Mytilus edulis: one gene and its partners. The protein of the gene in region 2 binds, or shares a complex with, the protein of the main gene of each other region. Links are inferred from orthologs where the notes say so. Each region holds a gene or a part of one and is shown on either strand. Other genes may lie near its edges.

Region 1 (7,566 bases), on a different chromosome or scaffold from region 2:
TAGTTATCAAAGTAGAGTTTAAATTGACCCAAGAATATTATTTTTTAAAATAGACATGGAAAAAGCAGGACAACTTGCATTTTTTTGAAAACTAAAATTTAGGACCCTTTTTATGTAATCTTCATTTTATGTAATCTGCATCTGTATACACTTGTAAAAAAACATTTCACTTACCTGTCCAAACAATGACAGCAACAAATTAATCTGTGATTGTCTGCATGGAAATGTTTTGTTGAGATCTTCTTTAAAGTTGTCTACTTCTGTCATATTTTCTGATGCAGCTTCTACATAAAAGGAGAACAAATGAGCAGTATTTGACAGGTGTCAACTGAACATAAGGAATGTATTAATAGCTAGATCAAATAAATCAAATATCTTTATAAAACATCTATTATATATATCATAATGGTATAAAAATATCTTGTTATTTAAACATGTTAAATATAAAGATATCGAATATCCATAAATTATAAGTACAGTAGACTCCACCTAATCGGATATCGGTTAATCGAATATATCGGCTATTGTAATATTATTTCAAAACACCGAACCATTCCCTATACATTTCAGTCAAAATACATCGGATAATCGAATATCGGTTATTAGAATATATCGGCTAATTGGATAGGAATATTCATGGAAAATGTGTGAAAACCATGTACAATCGAATATTTTGAAATAGTTTCATATTTTTTTTGACAGGAAATGAAACCGGAAGTCACGCCATTACGAAGTTTAAGAAAACTTCAGTACAGAAATGTTTCATTTTATTAATAAAAACGATCTTTCATAGTCAAATAAAACATATTTTTTCTTATTGTCTTGTTTATTTTATGAATTTGATATTATATTCTGCCCAAGATGTGTTTGTTATGTGTTTATCCAAATGTGATCGTTGTCATTTACTTCACAAACAATGACACGACAAAATGATAAACTGTGCGTGATGTTCATCAATGTTTATTAAATATGAATGAAATGTACCTCTTTCTCAACAATTTATTAAAATATATATAGAAGTCCCGTGTAAAAACAAGGAATCGTGTGTCAATAGCATGTCCCAGGTGAAATAGAATTATGTAACTTGTACACACGTACGCCATTTTCCTAATTTACATAATATTCAGCCTTTTATTTTGAACCACGACAGAGAAGATAGAAAAGCAAAATTAATTTTACAATTTTATAATCATAAACATAGTTGTATTACTTGAAATTGGAAATGGATTTCATAAATAAAAAAATGTAGAAAATTAGATCCGAGTACGATTACAGGTAGAAGTTTATAGTCGGCATGAATTCGTAGCTATTAATAGAATTTACCTGTGGCCTACTTCCGAGAATTCATAGCTATTTTTAGCTTTTACCTGTTTTAACACACAAATGAAACAAATCACGCAAAAACAACAAGTCACATTATTTAAATGGTACATATTTTATTCAGATAATCAACTCATAATTAATAATTAATAATCAATAGACTGACAGATAAACAAAATACATTATTATCAACTGATTGATCTGTTACTCAATCAACCGAATTATCCGAACTTGTACCTGAAAAAACAATGAGATTAGTTACAAATTTCCATTAATAAAGCAGCTATAATAGCTATTGGTATCTTAGGGTTGTGTCTGTCAATTTTGAAAAAAAACTCGGAGGAATATACGTTCATCGGCTAATTGAATATATCGGACAATATCAGATATTTTTAGCTGACATTTTGGGTATCCGATTGGCCGGAGTCTACTGTACTCTGTATTTATTGCCAGCAATTTTTATATTTATAAGGCCCAAAAAAATAATACATGTATTTCCCCTAACCCTACCTACCCAAGTTTTTAGTGCATACCTTAATTTTTTGGGGCATTTTGAACAAGCACCGTTAGAGTCAGACTGGTTCCCAAGTAGTATCCAGCTAAGAAATGTTTGGAAAATAAAATGATATTGCCTACCTACCTAACATGCCTAAGTAAACTACCCTAAATTCTTTCAGAACTTAAGCAGGAACACATGTATTATTTTTTTGGCCTACATGTATATTAGGATTACTCATGAACAGGTTCAAGTGACGCCACAGTTTGAACTTGAACTTGATCTGTAAATTATGGAAGAAAGCATTCTGTACAAGTTTTGTAACATTTGGTTGAGGCAGACTCGTTCATAGAGAACAGAAACCAATTTTGGATTGGAACCAACAGGAAAAACGGGACTGACAAGGGTAACACTTAATGCCCCTACACTTGGGGAATAAAAATACATAAGACACAGAATTATATCTTTCATAGCAGAATCTGCCAAAGTTTTGGGGATTTTTGTTCATCAATAATCATGAGACTGAGTAGTTTAATTTTTTACATGTTATGATGTTGAAAGTGTGGGTCGGATTGACTTGGAATGAAGACTTAGAACAGAAGGACCTGAGGACGGATCAACTAGGGGACGGGTAGTCCAAATAATTATGACGTCTTAAAAGGCTATTATAATTTTTTTCTTTGACGCCTTACTTCGACGTCGAAGTAAGGCGTCAAAGAAAAAAATTAGACGTCGAAGTAAGGCGTCAAAGAAAAAAATTATAATAGCCTTTCAAGACGTCATAATTATTTGGACTAGGGGACGGGTAGACATGAAAACAGGGCTTCGAGTTAAGTGTTTATAATGTTAGATGCTATGTAAAATGTTTCTCATGTGTAGTCTGTGACAGTGTCAAGTAAGCCGGTGACTGTCTAGTCCAAATAATTATGACGTCGTAGAAAGGCTTCCCAGAAAAAAAATTCGTTACCAACACAGGCACACTGTCATGACCGTGTGCCGGTGTGGTACTGGTAACGAAAAAGTTATAAATTTTGTCATCTAGAGATTTTTTTCTTCATATGTAATTTATAAATAAATAATTGAAGTAAAAGGACCTTGTATGTCGGTCACCTAATTCTAAACAGGTAATGTTGTCAAAATTCATTAAATTTCCCCGCCAAATTTCGGATCTTTTTAATGATTTCCGATGACTATCGAAAGATTATCCTTATAAAACACTGAGTCAATAGCGGACGAGATGACTGTTCCGTCTTATATGTCTATCGGCTTGAGCTAAACTAATATTACAGATAATCTTTACTTAAGGGGGTTCGCGGGTCTAAATCATTTAAATAGGATTTCTCTATATTTTTCTATAAATGAACTTTATCTTATAGTTAATAGAAAAATAAAATAAAAAATGGGGTCACCGTTCATTTGCGCTCACAATCTGCCTTCGAAAGAACAGAGACATATATATATGTCTCTGGAAAGAAGCATACATCTTTGTTAAAGTGGTTTTTTTTTCTGTTGAACTGATAGGAAAAATAAAAGTAATATCGAAATAAAAAAAAGAAATTTATTACAGAAATCGCTCAAATTTTGCAATAATTTAATTTAAGTACAGCATATATCGAAATTATATTAAAAAATATAGCCTGGTCACCGATGAGTTAAAAGAGATATTTCAATTTTAAAAAATATATGTTATATTTGTTATTCTCGTGGGATTTTGTCTATGTGTGTTACATTTTAGTGTTATGTCGTTGTTCTCCTCTTATATTAAATGCGTTTCCCTCGGTTTTAGTTTGTTACCCCGATTTTGTTTTTTGTCCATGGATTTATGAGTTTTGAACAGCGGTATACTACTGTTGCCTTTATTTAAAGCCAAAAAATGGCATTTTTTCACCAAAGGGAGATAATTTGGAACTTTTTTAATGATGCTTACATTTAAAAAGTCATCTGGGGCCAACACGAATTAATTGTTTTGAATGTTTTTTGTACCATATGATAAAGTAACAACTACAAAAGGTAATAAATAAAATTTGTAATGAAAAACAAATGTTTATTTTTTTTCTGAAATTTTTATACCCTCGAGCCTCCTTAAAGATTTAATTTCAGTTGCGAATCATCCCATGAAGCAAACTGTCTATGTTTTGAAGGAACGAATTGTTATGTACCACTTTTAGGCCCATATATATATATATATAACTTCCTCACGTTTCTAAAACAATGTAAAAGTATAATCACTATAAAACTGAACTCAAACACACCAAAACGAATGGATAACAGCTGTCATATTCCTGACTTGGTACAGACATTTTCTAATATAGAAAGTGGTTGATTAAAAAAAAAATTCTAATATAGGATTTCGCTATATTTTTTCATAAATGAACTTTATCATATACTTAAAAGAAAAATGAAATAAAAAAATGGGGCCACCGTTCATTTAAGCTCACAATCTGCCTCCGGAATAAGCATACATTTTTGTTAATGTCCTTTTTTTCTGTTGAGCTAATGAAGAAATAGACGGGTAATATCGAAATAAAAAAATAACATAATTACAGAAATCGCTTAAATTTTACAATTATTTAGTTTATGTACAGCTTATTTGAAAACATGTGTGCTGGTGGTTGTTCCACAGGGCAGTAGTATGCGTCTAGTGTGGTTGTTTTTTTTATGAAAAGCAGCTGCCGCTGGCTAGCTTGCATATGTGAGCGAAGAGAGAGCCGAGTGAGTAAGCCTCTCCTGTCAGTACATAGCCTCTACACTGTCAAGACTTCTACAGTGCCTCCCCGCGACAGCACATGGTAACTGGGATCTAGTATCTCAGGCTTTACTGTAGAGGATCTTGGAGCAGCAAGGGCCCTAAAGATGCAGAGTGTAGGCCCACCGGCGTGTGGACACGCCCTTACTCTCATTAACCTTGCCCCAACTATGGGTAAATAGCCGGTTAGATGAAGATCGTTAACCCAGGAAGGTAATTTATCTAGGAGAAAGAAAACTCTGATATAAAAAGGGCAGATAATGGTTCGTCAGCCTTGGTCGGCAACTTATCTAAAGGAAGGAAACCTCGACAAAAAATCCCTGGCCCTCCAAGTAGGGGGTTCGGCATAGGGCCAACAACTCTATCCTGTAAAAAGAATTAAGTTACGGAAACAGCAACAAAGGAATCAAACACAACCGCTGTGCGAATAGGCCTTCAAGAAAATAGTATGATTGCCAGTGGTGAAAGCCGCAAGGAAGCTGCTGGCAGGAATGAAGTGCTGAGCGCTAAAGCAAAAACCAGAATAGGATTCTGGAACGTACGTACTATGTATGAAACTGGGAAACTTGCACAGGTCACATCAGAAATGAGGCGATATAATTTGCACATTTTGGGAGTTAGCGAGAGTAGATGGACAGGTTCTGGTAAGATAAAGACAGATTCAGGAGAAACAGTTCTGTACTCAGGGAGAGATGACAACTATCATTTTGAAGGAGTAGCCATCATCCTCAAGAAAGGCACTGAGAAGAGACTTATGGAATGGAAACCTGTCAATAGTAGATTGATAACAGCAAAATTTAAAGGAGTGCACACCAACATGACCCTTATACAATGCTATGCACCAACAAATGACAGTGATGAAGCTATGAAAGACACCTTTTACGAACAACTACAAGCTGAAGTGAGATTGGTACCCCGTCATGATCTATTGGTGGTGATGGGTGATTTGAATGCCAAAGTGGGAAACAACAACACTGATATGGACAGAATAATAGGTAAACATGGATGTGGTACTATAAATGATAATGGAGAAAGACTAGCAGAATTATGTGCAGCTTACAACTTGGTAGTAGGAGGAACACTCTTTTCACATCAAGATATACATAAATTAACATGGTGTTCTCCAAATGGAAGGGATAAGAACCAGATAGACCACCTTATGATAAATGGTACTTGGAGGCGTTCATTACTCGATGTTAAAGTCAAGAGGGGAGCAGATGTTGGTAGTGACCATCACCTTGTTACTGCAAATATTAAGATGAAATTGAGAAGTACAGGACGTAAAACACTTGTCCCCACAAGATATGATATTGAAAAATTACAAGATCACAAAGTAAAAACTGCATTCATCCTCCAATTGAAAAATAAGTTTCAAGCTCTTACAGATAATCCTGACATGATCCCGACAGAAACAACAAAAGTCAACTCAAAATGGGATCAAATAAGAAAAATTTACGAAACAACTAGCAAAGAATGTTTGGGTTTTAAACAGGGTAAAACGATGAAGAAATGGATAACACCAGGTACATGGAAGGTTATAGAAGAAAGACGTCACATGAATAAGAAGATTCTAGACACAAAATCTGAACGGTTACAAGAAAGACACAAAGCAAGCTACAGAGTACTAGACAAAAATGTTAAGCGAATGGCTAGAGCAGACAAAAGAGCTTACATGGAAGACCTTGCTAAACAAGCAGAAGAAGCAGCAGAAAAGGGCGAACAAGGAAAAATCTACAAGATCACAAGAGAAATCTGTGGTAAATTTCGTAACACTAATGATGTCCATATAAAAGACAAAAATGGAAGGCTATTGACAACAGAAGACGAGCAAAAAGCCAGATGGGCAGAACACTTTAAGGAAGTACTTAACAGGCCACCGCCAGGTGACGAAGCGATAGTAATTGAGGCAGTTCAAGACTTGGAAATTAATATCAACCTTCCAGACAAACAAGAAATAATAAAAGTAATAAAATCTTTAAAAAATGGAAAATCACCAGGTCATGACAACCTGAATGCAGAACTTTTCAAAGTCGACCCAGAACTCGCAGCTGAAATTCTTCAAGCATTATTTACATCAATATGGGAAGGAAAAATAATACCAGACGATTGGACCAAAGGCATAATAATAAAGCTAGCCAAGAAAGGAGCTCTAAGCGATTGCAACAATTGGCGAGGCATTACCCTCCTGTCAATTCCAAGTAAAATCATGGCCAAAATTATTATCCAAAGAATAATAGATGCAATTGATAAACAACTAAGAGAAGAGCAAGCAGGATTCCGTAAAGGTAGAGGGTGCATCGATCAAATTTTTGCTTTACGCAACATCATCGAACAATGTACAGAATGGCAAAGGCAGCTTTACATCAACTTTGTGGATTTCCAGAAGGCCTTTGACAGTATCAACAGAAAGACCTTGTGGCGAATACTAAGAGCATATGGAATTCCAAAAGATATAATTGAACTTATCAAAAGTTTTTACAACAATTTCACTTGCAGTGTAGGGCATAGCAACATCTGGTTTGAGGTAAAAACAGGAGTTAGGCAAGGATGTGTGATGTCTTCTCTTCTTTTCAATGTTGTCATTGACTGGGTAATGAGAAAAACAACAGAAGATGCTCCAAGAGGAATAAGATGGAACCTTTCAGCAACACTAGAAGATCTTGATTTTGCTGATGATCTTGCTCTTTTATCTCACACCCACCACCATTTACAAAAGAAGACAAACCGCCTTAATACATTTGCCAGTCAAGTTGGACTTAAAATCAGCCAAACCAAAACAGAAGTCATGACCCTAAACATCAATAACCCAGCTCCTATCCTAGTAGATGGAAAAGATCTTCCCATCACAGAAACATTTACATACCTAGGAAGTACAATAAGAAACGATGGAGGTGCAGGAAATGACATTATGAACAGATTAAACAAAGCCAGAAATATTTTCAGATCATTAAACAATGTATGGAAATCAGCACAGTACAGTAAGAAGACCAAACTTAAACTGTAC
Region 2 (7,848 bases):
CTTTACTGACACCAGATGAAAAAAAGGGGGGTCAATATTCCTTGACACTTCAATACCTTGGATTTTTTACTAAATTCATTGCAAAAATTGTTGGAAGTCTTTAAAGAAGTAGAACAAACAAGAAAAAATCAGCAAACAATGATCTTGATATTGAAAGTTTATGTTCCTGTAGCCCAAAATGAAATTTTCAAGTATTTTCTATCAAAGTCATACATTACAGTCAGTTTAAATTGAGCTGTGAAATTTTTATTATAAGTCGCATAATGCTCAGATAGGCTGTTTTTAACTACAAATTGACTAAGGATTAAGAATAAAGCAAAATAAAAGATTTCTAATCAACTTTTTTGTCTCTTTAAGCAAAATGCGGTGAAACATCAAAATCAGAAAACAATTGTTTTTTTTTGTCTTAACTGATCATTTGAGATAATAGTAGCCACATTTCAATCTTTTTGGGGGCAAAATGTCACATATTGCAAATTTAGAGCCTAAAACTTGAGTTTGTCCTATTTTTAGCTTTTCCCATCCTGACAATAGGCTTTTATATAAAAAATGTCCTAAATAATGTTATAAATGCACAGAAAGTTATTCTGTGGTGTTAGACATTGAAACATAAGTTGTTTACTACCCCCAAAAAAAATTTGTCATGCAGATTTAATGAAATTATTTGATTTTTACCCCTTATAGCATTGCGTCATACTATGTACTTGGCAGATAGCATAGCCTAATGTAAGCACTGCAGAAACTCACAAAAGCACCATTTATTATTCCAAATGAAATTTTTATATCTTAATTTTTATTAACTGATGTAAATAAACACAGTTAAATGACCATGACTGCACTTTTGATCAATTTGTAGTACTTTACTGACACCAGATGAAAAAAAGGGGGGTCAATATTCCTTGACACTTCAATACCTTGGATTTTTTACTAAATTCATTGCAAAAATTGTTGGAAGTCTTTAAAGAAGTCGAACAAACAAGAAAAAATCAGCAAACAATGATCTTGATATTGAAAGTTTATGTTCCTGTAGCCCAAAATGAAATTTTCAAGTATTTTCTATCAAAGTCATACATTACAGTCAGTTTAAATTGAGCTGTGAAATTTTTATTATAAGTCGCATAATGCTCAGATAGGCTGTTTTTAACTACAAATTGACTAAGGATTAAGAATAAAGCAAAATAAAAGATTTCTAATCAACTTTTTTGTCTCTTTAGGTGTCATACCACCAATTACTCCCTCAAATTTAGAACGTATGTGAAAGTAGGCCTACTCGGACAAAAAAAAGTGCATTTGATGTCATTGTTCACCTAAACTAACGAACAAATTTGCAGAAATGAAAGTTTTGTTGAAAGAGAAATATATTAAGACCATTTTGAGCCAAAATTTACCTGTCTATGAGTTTGCATTAAAAATTGAGGATTAATGCGCTCCATAGTATACTAATTTAAGATTTCCAGAAAACCAGGGGTTATTTTTAGTGGTACCTCCTTTCGGAAGCTCTCTGCTTTCTTGTATGATTTTGAATGTATGTTGAAAATTGGCATGCAGAAAGGTGACACCTGTACAATTCAGGATATACCTAGTTTCTATGAAGTTAAACTTAAGGTAAAATATTTAGAAAGCTGTGAAAATTGCAAAATTTGGTTGAACAGATAGGGACTTTTAATTGGTGGTATGACACCTTTAAGCAAAATGCGGTGAAACATCAAAATCAGAAAACAATTGTTTTTTTTTGTCTTAACTGATCATTTGAGATAATAGTAGCCACATTTCAATCTTTTTGGGGGCAAAATGTCACATATTGCAAATTTAGAGCCTAAAACTTGAGTTTGTCCTATTTTTAGCTTTTCCCATCCTGACAATAGGCTTTTATATAAAAAATGTCCTAAATAATGTTATAAATGCACAGAAAGTTATTCTGTGGTGTTAGACATTGAAACATAAGTTGTTTACTACCCCCAAAAAAAATTTGTCATGCAGATTTAATGAAATTATTTGATTTTTTACCCCTTATAGCATTGCGTCATACTATGTACTTGGCAGATAGCATAGCCTAATGTAAGCACTGCAGAAACTCACAAAAGCACCATTTATTATTCCAAATGAAATTTTTATATCTTAATTTTTATTAACTGATGTAAATAAACACAGTTAAATGACCATGACTGCACTTTTGATCAATTTGTAGTACTTTACTGACACCAGATGAAAAAAAGGGGGGTCAATATTCCTTGACACTTCAATACCTTGGATTTTTTACTAAATTCATTGCAAAAATTGTTGGAAGTCTTTAAAGAAGTAGAACAAACAAGAAAAAATCAGCAAACAATGATCTTGATATTGAAAGTTTATGTTCCTGTAGCCCAAAATGAAATTTTCAAGTATTTTCTATCAAAGTCATACATTACAGTCAGTTTAAATTGAGCTGTGAAATTTTTATTATAAGTCGCATAATGCTCAGATAGGCTGTTTTTAACTACAAATTGACTAAGGATTAAGAATAAAGCAAAATAAAAGATTTCTAATCAACTTTTTTGTCTCTTTAAGCAAAATGCGGTGAAACATCAAAATCAGAAAACAATTGTTTTTTTTTGTCTTAACTGATCATTTGAGATAATAGTAGCCACATTTCAATCTTTTTGGGGGCAAAATGTCACATATTGCAAATTTAGAGCCTAAAACTTGAGTTTGTCCTATTTTTAGCTTTTCCCATCCTGACAATAGGCTTTTATATAAAAAATGTCCTAAATAATGTTATAAATGCACAGAAAGTTATTCTGTGGTGTTAGACATTGAAACATAAGTTGTTTACTACCCCCAAAAAAAATTTGTCATGCAGATTTAATGAAATTATTTGATTTTTACCCCTTATAGCATTGCGTCATACTATGTACTTGGCAGATAGCATAGCCTAATGTAAGCACTGCAGAAACTCACAAAAGCACCATTTATTATTCCAAATGAAATTTTTATATCTTAATTTTTATTAACTGATGTAAATAAACACAGTTAAATGACCATGACTGCACTTTTGATCAATTTGTAGTACTTTACTGACACCAGATGAAAAAAAGGGGGGTCAATATTCCTTGACACTTCAATACCTTGGATTTTTTACTAAATTCATTGCAAAAATTGTTGGAAGTCTTTAAAGAAGTAGAACAAACAAGAAAAAATCAGCAAACAATGATCTTGATATTGAAAGTTTATGTTCCTGTAGCCCAAAATGAAATTTTCAAGTATTTTCTATCAAAGTCATACATTACAGTCAGTTTAAATTGAGCTGTGAAATTTTTATTATAAGTCGCATAATGCTCAGATAGGCTGTTTTTAACTACAAATTGACTAAGGATTAAGAATAAAGCAAAATAAAAGATTTCTAATCAACTTTTTTGTCTCTTTAGGTGTCATACCACCAATTACTCCCTCAAATTTAGAACGTATGTGAAAGTAGGCCTACTCGGACAAAAAAAAGTGCATTTGATGTCATTGTTCACCTAAACTAACGAACAAATTTGCAGAAATGAAAGTTTTGTTGAAAGAGAAATATATTAAGACCATTTTGAGCCAAAATTTACCTGTCTATGAGTTTGCATTAAAAATTGAGGATTAATGCGCTCCATAGTATACTAATTTAAGATTTCCAGAAAACCAGGGGTTATTTTTAGTGGTACCTCCTTTCGGAAGCTCTCTGCTTTCTTGTATGATTTTGAATGTATGTTGAAAATTGGCATGCAGAAAGGTGACACCTGTACAATTCAGGATATACCTAGTTTCTATGAAGTTAAACTTAAGGTAAAATATTTAGAAAGCTGTGAAAATTGCAAAATTTGGTTGAACAGATAGGGACTTTGACACCGAAATTCGACATAAAGAATTCCCGGATCCCGAAGGAGTAAATCCCGAAATCCCAAGCTTAAAAACACCCCATCCCGGAGTCTCGATAAAGGTCCTATCCCCCCTCATATATGTAAAAATCAATATCGGATAACCAAATCTTGCAGCCGTTCACCCCCCCCCCCCCCCCCCCACAAACTATTTGAATTAAGTTTTTTTTATCTTACATTGATCTTTTGATGTCGTCCCTTAACGGAGAAATAACGAGAAAAAGTAATGTTTTTACGATTCTCATTTGACAGAATTTAATGAAAAATTAAACTGTTAGGACCAACATTGTTTGATAGAAATATGTTTGAATATCAAGGATTGATTTGCAAAAGTTAGAAAACGGGTCAGGTTAATGAGAAAATTAAACTTTATTGAAGCACCTATGCATTTTATATCTGGCAATATAATACAAAATGGCGGTTAGTATACGTCACGTGATGTCCGACTTAGTTGAATATGACGACTGCCACATGTGGAGCAGGATCTGCTTACCCTTCCGGAGTACCTGCCGCAGATCACCCCTAGTTTTTGGTGGGGTTCGTGTTGTTTATTCTTTAGTTTTCTATGTTGTGTCATGTGTATTGTTTGTCTGTTTGTCCTTTTTTCCATTTTTAGCCATGGTGTTGTCAGTTTATTTTCGATTTATGAGTTTGACTGTCCCTCTGGTGTCTTTCAATTCGTCCCTCTTTTAGTAGGTTGGATAGGAAAATCGCAGATTGAGTTATGCACTAATATTTCTAGGATTATTATCTTCAAATTTCGTGATAAAAAGTTATAACTTTTATCAAACACTTAATTGACTTAATATGTTTAGACGCTTTACATCTTTTTTCGGCACGTTAAAGAACGAACCCGGAACATTTGTTAGGTTTTTATACTTTTTCCATTTGTGCTACTTTATTTTGAAGAGCTATTTTGCGGGAAAGAAGAAAAATGAACAGTCGTCCACGAAGAAAATGTGTATCTGTCAGTTTTGTTGCAGACGAAGATGTTATTCAGCATATAGTAGACGCACATGAAAAGTCTTCCAAAAAAGGTGAAGATTTTTTTGGGGTCATGCTGTCCATACATACATTGTCATTGTAGTCGCGGGGATGAAAACAATCTATCACAGAAATTATTAGGGTTCAGATATTATGGGAGATCTCATTATTTGTCACAAATTGTCCACTATATTTATATTAAGATTAGAAGATATGGTATGATAGCCAATTAGACGACTATCCACCAAAGTTAGAATAAAGTGGATCTAAGCAAATTTATAGCCTAGGCAAGCCAACCCTCTCCATGCTCTACATCTATAGTCGCCGTCAGCTGAAATTTGTAGCGGCTATCGGTATAAATAATCTTAACTATCAACCACATTTACTCGTGATATAGTTTTTCACATTTCATTCATAAATCCAAAAGATAAAAACCACTACTGACCTACCTTTAAAGTGATTGAACTGTGATAATCCTGACTTTCATATTTTCCAAGACAATTTTGAATGGTGGAATCCGCCATTGTATTAACCGGAAGTGTTTCTGTGGAGTTCAAGTTCAGAAAATAAGCATAAAGCGCTGGAAACTTTATCACATCAATGACAAGAATATTACAGGAAACTCCAAAGTATAACGCATGTCACATGTAAACAAAGGATCCTCATAGAAACGAAGATGGCGGAATTACAATGGAAAACATTCTGGAAAATGTGAAGGTCAGGATTATTACAGTGCAATCACTTAAAAGGTAGGTCGGTAGTGGTTTTTCTTTTGACGATTTATGAATGGAATGCGAAAAACTCTATCTCGAGTGCCAACGCGATTGATAGATTAGATTATTTTTACCGATAACCACTACAAATTTCAGCTGACCATGACTATACATCCTACGACGATCCATGTACCTAATCGCTATTTCTCCGCCATTACTGGATATCACATAGGTTCCCGTAAAATTTTGACGTCAGAAAACAAACTAACTGATGCCACAATGGAATAGTGATTGTTGTATGATGTCAAAAGTTCAATTGGCCGGGTCAGCCGGGAATAGCGATAAAGTGTATTAGCACATTGATGACTATATGTTGGCGCATCGCAAAAAAGGCACTTATTTAAAGATAACAATTTTAAGCTAGCAATAATCAAAAATAATTTTGTGCAAAAATAAAAATAAACACATTTACATATACAAATGTATATGCAGGTATTTACAAACAGGGTAATATTTAAATATACTGAATTTGGATCAATATTATAAACTTATAATCTATAGCATCATATATATTATAATCTATAGCATTACATATTACATTATATATTATAATATATATTCTATTATATACTATAAACTTTACAGCTTTCAACAATGAGACAAACCCATACTGTATACAGGCCATATTTATCTTACTCATTTGTGAGAAAAGGCTGTATATGAGTTACAGCAAATAGAAATGCAACTAGATTTATTGAACGACAAATAAATTATAAATGGAAAAACTTTTGTTTAACAGTGTGGGAACAAACCTTCAACATGGTGTTTATACCTGTATAGATGGATAATCCTTCTATAAAAACGGTGTTTTACATTTCTGGAATTGGCATTACTATTCTGGGGGATAAATACTTTTCCGTGAAAAAAATTCTACTTTTCATCTTTTCTGGAAATAAATATCTCACTTTTCGGGGAAAATAATTTCAGGAAAACCTATTGAATGGCATTGTTTGTTGTTTTCTTTCCAGGGATCAAGTGGTGATGCCCAAATGTAATCTGGAAACCTGATGCATTTATCGTCAGATGGTGCATTTGTTATTAATTCTGCATGGCATTCTTGAATATTATTGTTTGGCAAGTACATGTATAAAGCCAAACCAAAGAAATGTTTCAGCCTTTTTCCAAAATCCGAATCTTTTCTTGTATTCTTATAAAATTATCCCTCTGTAGAGCAATTGTAGAGTGATATTTGTGTTTCGACAGGATTTAAAACAGGAAAATGGCATTTTCTATTTACATGTACATTCTACATGTATATGGCTATATTAATCTATAGCATTATATATTTGTCAGTTATTGCACTTTACTAAAAATTGACATGCCCAGTTTTTCTGCTTAAGTGACAGAACTTGTAATCTTTTGTATACCTATCTGAACATCTGATCAACAACAAAAGGGACAGTCAACCTTTAAATTTTATGTTAAATCCTACAATCATGACAATAGAAATTCTGTTCATTGAGGCATAACTGAGTGGAATTTACCTGATCATCACAGCTTTCAATTATGATAAACAATAGATTGTATACTCAGTCAGTAAAGCAGTAAACGGGCCATATGCATATTAAATTAAGTTCATCAATTGGTGCATCAAACGTTGCAGGTTACTGCCATAATAAGTAGAAAATGCTATTTTGGCCTATTTTGCTTTAAATCGAGTCTAAAAAAAAATATTCCTTTATAGAAGGATAATTTTATCTCTTTACAGAAGGATTATCCCTCTATCATGTCTATACAGGTATAAACACCATATATAGAGGGTTTGTTCCCAACCTGTTTAATAAGATTGCGTGGAAGTATTGTGTAAAGAGTGGGAATGTCAAAACTGTCAACGGTATCAAAAGTATCATCAAACATGTCAAAAGCATGTAATTTCTCTAAAACATTCAAAGTTTTTTTTCTCTCCAAAAATGGTAAAGTCCACTATATTTATACATCGTATGTTCATCACAAAAATTATGATCAGTTCTTTGGTAACAAGTCAATTTGTACCTTGGCATTTTGTACCTCTTCCATTTCATACCTAAAATCACATTTCGTTCTTAACTTTTACCATTTCATACCCATGATCAAAATCATTTTGTACCATATGGACCAATAGACCACTTTCGAGTTTGTCTGTCTCCAGAAAAAACTCGTCAATTATGCACGCCTTTCTGACATCATTTATCAGATAGAGGGGATTGCCTATATCCCTGCACTAT
Region 3 (7,733 bases), on a different chromosome or scaffold from region 2:
ATTTTTGTAAAAGATAACTAAGATTTATGAAAAATGGTTAAAAATTGACTATAAAGGACAATAACTCCTAAAGGGGTCAACTGACCATTTCAGTCATGTTGACTTATTTTTAGGTCTTACTTTGCTGAACATTTTTGCTGTTTACAGTTTATCTTTACCTGTAATAATATTCATGATAATAACCAAAAACAGCAAAATTTCCTTAAAATTTCCAATTCAGGGGCAGCAACCCAACAACGGGTTGTCCGATTCATCTGAAAATATTAGGGCAGATAGATCTTCACCTGATAATCAATTTTACCCATGTCAGATTTGCTCTAAATGCTTTGGTTTTTGAGTTATAAGCCAAAAACTGCATTTGACCCCATGTTCTATTTTTAGCAATGGCGACCATGTTTGTTGATAGATCAAAACTTCGGATACAATTTATAAACTAGATATCCTAAGGAACATTCAGTTAAAGTTTGGAAGTATTTGGCCTAGTAGGTTCAGAGGAGAAGATTCTTGAAATAGTTTAGGACGACAGACGATGGACGACGACGGACGCCAAGTGATGGCATAAGCTCACTTAGCTTGGCCCTTCAGGCCATGTGAGCTAAAAAGTGTTGAAAAATAATGCAAAGATTAAAAAGGGTAGCTTTATTCCTGTAAGAAAATCATCAGGGAGATGTAGGGTTGATGATATAATTGGTAAGGATGTAAATTTGTACAAACTATCATGTGAATTTGGCATATTGAACTCTTATGTTATGGGTGATATCGATCTTTTCCCACGCAAAATTGAAACTGCACATTGGAAAACAGAATGAAATTTATTGCATATTGCTGCAAAATAAGCAAGCAAGCAAGAGATGCAAATGCAAAGGAACATGCACAAACAAATTATACATGTAAAATTGTAAATGTAAAAAAATCTGATGTTCCTCCTAGCAGCAAGTGTCATGAGTGTCACCCAGGGCGGGATTGCCAAAATAGGATTTAGAGACAATTTAATACAGAATTATTTAATTTCAATTGATTTATTGTTAACTTATTCACTTTATTCATCAAACTGTAATAATATTAACTTGAAATACTCAATAAAAGTTTTTTTATTAATGTTTGTCTAAAATAAACCCATATGATCCAAATACATGTATGGTCCAGCTCATTCTAGACCGTATGAGTATACTTGTACGCCACGGTCCGACTGTATACTCATGTGGTCTGGAACATACATGTTGGTGACCTTCTGCCGTTGTTTTTTCTATGGTCGGGTTGTTGTCTCTTTGACACATTCCCCATTTCCATTCTCAATTTTATGTTCCAGACCATATGAGTATTTGGACCGTACGTGTACAGTCCAGACAGTATACGTATACCTGTACGGTCGGACCGTATAAGTATGCGCGTATGGACCATACATGTGATTGGATCATATGGGTTATATTTAAACAATTTTCCACAATCTTTATTTTTAGTTTTACAAATTTTTATTATTACAATTAGACAGATAAACTGAACAAACAAACAATTGAAATTTAACTTTGTTTAATTGCATATCTGAATCCTATTTTGGTACACTCGCCCAAGGTGACTTTATATTTTTTACATTTGAAAATGTACATGTCTGCAGTTCATGCATGTCCCTTTGCATTTGCATTTTTTTGTAAAGTTGCTAAACATTCTAAAACAACTGTCCTCCCATATTATGTTTACTTCAGATATCTTCAATTTCAGTGATCATAATTTAAATAATGTATAACTGATCGACATCATATAAATACAGGAGATTAACAGAGTTGATTAGCATGATTTTTTAAAATAGTTAGAATATAAAGTTTTTATTTCAACTACAATTGAACTTTTTCATATATTAATTTGAGAGTTAAGTTATGCTGATCTGTAATACGCATTAATTATAAATTTGTATCTAATAAACTTGACCAACTTCTCAATATTAGTGAGACTGTATGTGTACGGTCTGATCGTATAAGTATTTTGAAAAAGTACACATACGGTCTGGAACATAAATGCAAGTTGGTTACTGTTAGGGTAGTCCAAATAATTATGACGTCTGGCAAGGCTATTTTAATTTTTTCTGGGACGCCTTCCTACGACGTCATAACGCCGAAGCCATTTTTTAGGTCTGGAGTTTGAGAGCAAATTTTGGGGGGAATTCCGGATAATGTAAATGAAATGTTCTGGGAATTCGGGTCTGTCAAATTTTACCGATTTTAATATTTTATATTCACCGGAAGTCACGTTTGTCACGTTTTTTTGGTAATTGTGGGAAATCTCTCTGAAACAATATAAATATTTGCCCACTTGAAATGGAATTGCATCTTATTTTATCATTACTTTTGGATATTTCTGGAAATATTTTACATAAATCAGCACAAAAAAGGTAGGACTTTGTAATAACGTAAAAATTTCTAACCAGCAATGAAAATTTCAGGTCAAAATAAGGTTTTAAAGTTCCCCCCAAAATTTGCTCTCAAACTCCAAACATAAAAAATGGCTTCGGCGTTATGACGTCGTAGGAAGGCGTCCCAGAAAAAATTAAAATAGCCTTGCCAGACGTCATAATTATTTGGACTACTGTTAGGGTGTCTATTCTGCTAGCCTACACAATAATGTCATGCTCTAATTTTCAGCAAATTGATTTGATTTAATAAATCCTTCACAATAAATCTAGACTACTCTAGAACAGTTGTAGGATATCTGGACTCAAAAAATTGATTATGAATAGAAATATAAAGTAGAAACAAGTGCTTTTTGTAGAAAATAAATAACAAATAATAAACTATTTGATATATTTCAATCATGATAATAAAAAATAAGTAAGCTGTGATGAGAATTTCACTATCATTAATTAATATACTTTTGAAACTGAAGACCCAGTGTCCATGTCAACAGTTTATGGTATTTACTAAAAAAAATTAAGCCTTTTCTGTTTTCTTGCAATCATACATTTTGCGGGAGAATTCAATATACAGGCTCTGTCAATAATGTTTCCTTGGAGAATTACCAAAAATACAACTAATCACCAAACACAATTTCAAGAGAGTTAACACTGTAAACACGTACCAAAAATTAATTACAACTTAATGATGACACATACATGAAACCTCTATTTTCAGACGCATTTGCAGGAGACCTTTGAAAAATGCAAAAGTAATACCAGAGACATATATACACATATAAGTTTCTGGTAATACTTTCTAAAAGGAGGGATTTTACGAGTTGTATTTTCTGTGTGTTTTTTTTTTACATATATATATAATTAATGATAAATTCTTTATTTAACGAAGGTAACTCCTTTAACATGCAATTGTTAATCTCATACAAGGCCTTAACACATTTAAATGAACAATTCATATAACAATCAATGCATATTGCACAATCAATAGATATGTACACAATTACAAATTACAAATATATATCTATGCAAGCATGAAATCAGACTGTACAGAACTAGCATGGCAAGAATGTCATAAAAAAACGTTTGTCTACTCATTTTGTTTTGTGATCAAGAGATTAGCACATTTCATCTTAAAGCTTTCTATAAGTCTTTTCAAAATCCTTTATATCATTTGGCAAACAGTTGAATATGGCCAACTCTCAGGTTACTCCTGTCAGCACTCTGATAACTGTCGGAGAGTTCGAACCAAGAACCTGGTTGAAGACCCCTTTATTTAGCTAGGCAGAAATAAAAACTAGAAGCTTTCCATAGTTTATAAGTGAATAATAATTTGACCAAAGTCATGGCAAAATATTCTGTTAGTTGATTGTGGCCAATGGTCCATTATCCGGTAGAAGTTGAAGACAACTGAGATCAACGATTTTGTAAAGCAAGTAAAAATTCACATAAAAGTAACAAAATTCAATTTGTCATTCGAAGTCTTGTCTTGATGCATTATAATGCAAAACAGACGAATGACATCTTGTGTAGATACAATAAAATGCAAGACAGTATCATCTTCTCTAAGGTGAAAACAGTCAAGAATACGTACTGCATTGATGTAACCAGACTATGATCTTCGCTAACCAAGGGTTACGATCCGGTTTTCCTTATCTCCACGGTGACGATGGACCAGACTGAAGCTCTTCATGAACATCTAAAACTGGTCTCTTCTTTACAGTCTTCAATCTAAGCCCGAGAATTTGCATCAAAATGATGTTAACTTGATAATAAGTGAACTTATCTCCTGCACCACTTAGAAAACACAATATTTTCAAATTAAACTGTCACATCAATTATATTATGTTAGTTCACAGATGTCACATGGTTTTTAGGTGGCAATTACAAGAAGAGATAAAAAATAAATACACAATACCAATCAAGAAATGAATCTTTTTTTTTCTTTATATGTGATTTTGGTTTTTTTTACAAAATTTATTTTTTTCAATAAATTGCAAGATTAAGATATCAAAAAAAAAATACATATTTAAAAATAATTAGGTTTTCAAATTAATCTTAAAAGTCAGGATAAACAACATCACAGAATATTTCCAAAATAAGAATTAAACACCAAAAATAAAGGAGGAGTGTCAACCCCACATGTGCCTGTGCATTTTCCTTTTTAAAGTTTTAAAGTTTAACAATTTTGTGTTTTAAACATCTGTTTGTTGTTATAATATCAGTCGCCTTATCTGTACGAAATGACAGATTTATAGCCCTTCGGCTTATACATTTTATAATTGAGAGAAGATATGAAATTTTCACTTTCTTGTGCATGGATGTTGGACTGAATTTTGTCATTATAAATGCAAATTTTCTGTTTATACTAGTATTACATATTTCAACTATAAAGGAATGGAAAAAAAATATCGTATGGACATAGTGGCTAGACATGCAATTTATTTAGATTATGCTTCATGAAAAAGTTTTTTTTTACCTTCGAAACTTTGAACATGCTTATTTTTTTCAGAACTTTCTATTGAGTCAATATAGCTTTAATATGATTTGATTGACAATAATAAAATTCGAAATTTTGATAACTTTCCTCATGACACATAAAGACAGATTTCCTCTGATGAATACTTCGTTGGGGACTTGTTTCAAATACCACCCAACGCAAAAAAAAACATGGTAAGACGTTAGAATATAAATCTAGTAGGAAGTTGATGTACCAAATTTCGCAGATTTTATGTGCAATTTTACAACGGAACATAGGAAAATGCATTTTATTCAATCTCAATGTTGCGCCGGACATGCAATTATTTAATGTAAAAGTAAGATATGTGTGATCAATAAAATAAACGTATGGTGCAAACATTTATACTTAACTTAAAATAAGAAAAACATGTCAAGGGCTTTCTGTAGACGTATGCATGTTGGTGGGTTTATTTTGTATAGGCGAATTGTTGCTGTTCTAAAATAATATCATAACGAAATTATTTAATTTTGGATGTAACGCGTCTTCTGATTGGCTGACGTTATTTTGTTATCAGCCCATAGACATAATTTAGTCATGTGACCGTGACGTCATCAACGTTTTTCATGGTTTTCTACGGTAAAACTGTTTAAAATGAATTTAGAATTAAATTATAAGAAATGACTGTAATATTTTTCTGTCTATTTCGAAATAACACGCACGTTATTCAGTGTGCACCACATTTTTTTTATGTTATTTCTTCATAGACAGAAAAAATATTACAGTCATTCCTTAAATGTTAATCCAATCATTAACGTGCGTAATGTCTACATATTTCATTTGCTCATTTTTAGAAGATGACTGTCTTATGGTGATGTTACTGTAGATTTTACCTTTTCCGGTTAATACTTCATCTGTTCAGTGATATTTACTGTGAACATTTTGTGAACATTTAAATCTATTAACCTATCTTTAAAAATATGTGCATCATCAGTAATGTCAGGAACATATATATTAACTTATAAGTTAGATATACTATTCCGAGGTAATGTCAAATAATAAAAAAATACAAAATATTTTCCCTTAGAAAACTTTGTAAGACTTTCTTTCCTCTCTTTGCTCAAAGAAGTGCAATTTGGATACTCTGACGAATCAAGATTTTTTCCTTAAAACATGGATAAATTAGAAATTGTATATTAAAAATTTCTATTGGTACGACTTTCATTTTTAATTTATGTTTTATGTGAAGTCGGTATTTAGGAAGCAGGCTGTATGTTGTATTCGAAACTTTTAGTTTGGACTTCAGTGATTGTAAAAACGAACAATCTCGATAAAGTCTTAGTAGTCTGTAACAAAACATTTAATCATCTTCAAAGCGCTTTAAAGTAACATATATCAAGAATCAAAAGCAAGTTGATACTTGACGTTGAATTATATTCTGGAAAAAAGAAAAAAAATGTTTTTGCTTATACTAGTTCTAATTTTGGTGATTTTCTTCAATATTTTGTCGAATTTTACCCAGATAATTTCAAAACAAGTATGAATCAATCCATTTTGCATGCAATTTTCCTTCTTCTTTAATATATACAAATGCCTTTTGTAGGTTTATCATAACAAATGGACAAAAAAATGAAGACTGGCTATATTTACACATCTTAAACTACTCTAGAGTACAGTCTAACCTGTTTAGTTGGAAAGGTTTTAAGGCCTGGTATCAACTAGATATATAAAAGTTAAATGCATAATGTATTTCAGAAAGAAATTGGATTTTGATGGGCATTTTTTTGTTGTTCCTGTAGCCAGAAGGTGTAAAAATAAATGCACACCTGAATTGCTTTAGATACTGTACACTCAATACACCTTATCGCTATTTGTCCGCCATTACTGAAAATCACACAGGTTCCCGTAAAATTTTTACGTCTTAAAACCAAATATCTGACGTCCGAATGGAGAAGTGATTGTTGTATGCGTCAAAAGTTCAAGCGGCCGGGTCAGCAGGGATTAGTGATAAGGTGTATTGCACGCTTTAACTCACCTATAGTTGTAGATAACTAATGTCTGTCTATTGTCCATGTCAATCAATCAATTCAATACAATACAGTTGTTACCTGATCAAAGTTCTATCCAAACATAGTTTTTTTTTTATTTTTGTAAATTTTTCTTAATCAGCCATGGAAATATTTATATAAAGTACAGATCAGATGTGACCAGCTATGGCCGAAGACCATACAAAAAAAATAACTACAGTACAGATCAGGAGATGTAGGAATGGCCCAGGTGACAGAAGAATAATGATCACAGTGTGAATGATGTGCATTCTATGCTTATTAACAGACATTTGGTGAGATTCACACAGAAATGAAAAAAATGTTTATTTTATGTTTCAGCTGAGTAAGCAGATATACCCTGTTTGTGATACAGAACTGAATATAAGATCACAGATTAAAGATCTGAAGACAGAACAGGATGGTGTACAGATGGTGGATGAGTTTGCCAGACATGCAAAGATACAGAGGAAAATTGATAAATTATTATCTCAAGTTAAACAACAAAGTAATTTATCATTTTACAGCTTAACAAAAAATGTTAAGAAGCTTAAAATTTATTACCATAATGTTAAAATATATTTTGCAAATTATGAATCATTTATTGTTTATGAAAGCTATGTTACCAACCATAATTATAGAGGTCTTGGTTTTGCCTGAGGGAGTTGGAACCTTAGTTTCTTTATTATGTTTATATTTAATATGAGGCAGGCATTACCTGTAAATGGGGACGAAGTCTGTATGAATTATTTTTTTGTAACTTAAATATTTGTTTAAAAAAAAAGAAACGGAAATACCGTAACGTTTCCGATTTTGGTTCTGTTGTTAG

What was found.
Region 1: the proteins of origin recognition complex subunit 2-like (region 2) and origin recognition complex subunit 5-like are in contact, whole or in part, in a crystal structure (PDB 4XGC), measured with the Drosophila melanogaster proteins. The link is inferred for Mytilus edulis from reciprocal best matches to the Drosophila melanogaster genes Orc2 and Orc5. Residues at the interface, in NP_731873.1 of Drosophila melanogaster: Asp438, Arg443, His468, Asn470, Thr471, Pro472, Leu473, Leu474, Trp475, Asp476, Gln477, Leu480, Trp487, Ser521, Ser524, Glu564; in NP_477132.1 of Drosophila melanogaster: Lys169, Ile382, Cys401, Asn402, Leu404, Ser405, Ile407, Ser408, Thr409, His412, Asn424, Ile425, Met426, Glu427.
Region 3: the proteins of origin recognition complex subunit 2-like (region 2) and origin recognition complex subunit 3-like are in contact, whole or in part, in a cryo-EM structure (PDB 7JK6), measured with the Drosophila melanogaster proteins. The link is inferred for Mytilus edulis from reciprocal best matches to the Drosophila melanogaster genes Orc2 and Orc3. Residues at the interface, in NP_731873.1 of Drosophila melanogaster: Ala331, Ile332, Lys342, Met344, Cys345, Ile346, Leu347, Asn348, Glu349, Phe351, Tyr356, Leu358, His369, Lys375, Thr377, Val378, Leu379, Val380, Val381, Asn382, Phe385, Asp392, Ser396, Asp400, Ile401, Leu402, Asp403, Asn410, His412, Glu413; in NP_476904.1 of Drosophila melanogaster: Gly10, Cys11, Phe12, Val13, Tyr14, Lys15, Asn16, Ala18, Thr19, Arg20, Ser38, Leu39, Leu40, Tyr50, Tyr53, Arg54, Asn106, Pro108, Arg135, Asp136, Ala142, Arg177, Arg180, Asp308, His312, Gln316, Lys319, Tyr320, Met323, Phe327.

What each region holds. Positions count from the first base shown.
Region 1 is NC_092344.1:67,509,651-67,517,216, reverse strand, and holds the start of origin recognition complex subunit 5-like, read right to left. Parts: upstream 3,044-7,566; 5' UTR 2,911-3,043; intron 285-2,910; 5' UTR 268-284; coding exon 175-267; intron 1-174. UniProt on the Drosophila melanogaster protein: Component of the origin recognition complex (ORC) that binds origins of replication. DNA-binding is ATP-dependent, however specific DNA sequences that define origins of replication have not been identified so far.
Region 2 is NC_092350.1:14,218,709-14,226,556, forward strand, and holds the start of origin recognition complex subunit 2-like, read left to right. Parts: upstream 1-4,780; 5' UTR 4,781-4,821; coding exon 4,822-4,924; intron 4,925-7,848. UniProt on the Drosophila melanogaster protein: Component of the origin recognition complex (ORC) that binds origins of replication. DNA-binding is ATP-dependent, however specific DNA sequences that define origins of replication have not been identified so far.
Region 3 is NC_092353.1:2,484,552-2,492,284, forward strand, and holds the start of origin recognition complex subunit 3-like, read right to left. Parts: upstream 3,028-7,733; 5' UTR 2,891-3,027; coding exon 2,864-2,890; intron 1-2,863. Other genes in the region: guided entry of tail-anchored proteins factor 1-like, read left to right, coding at 6,316-6,396, 7,247-7,412.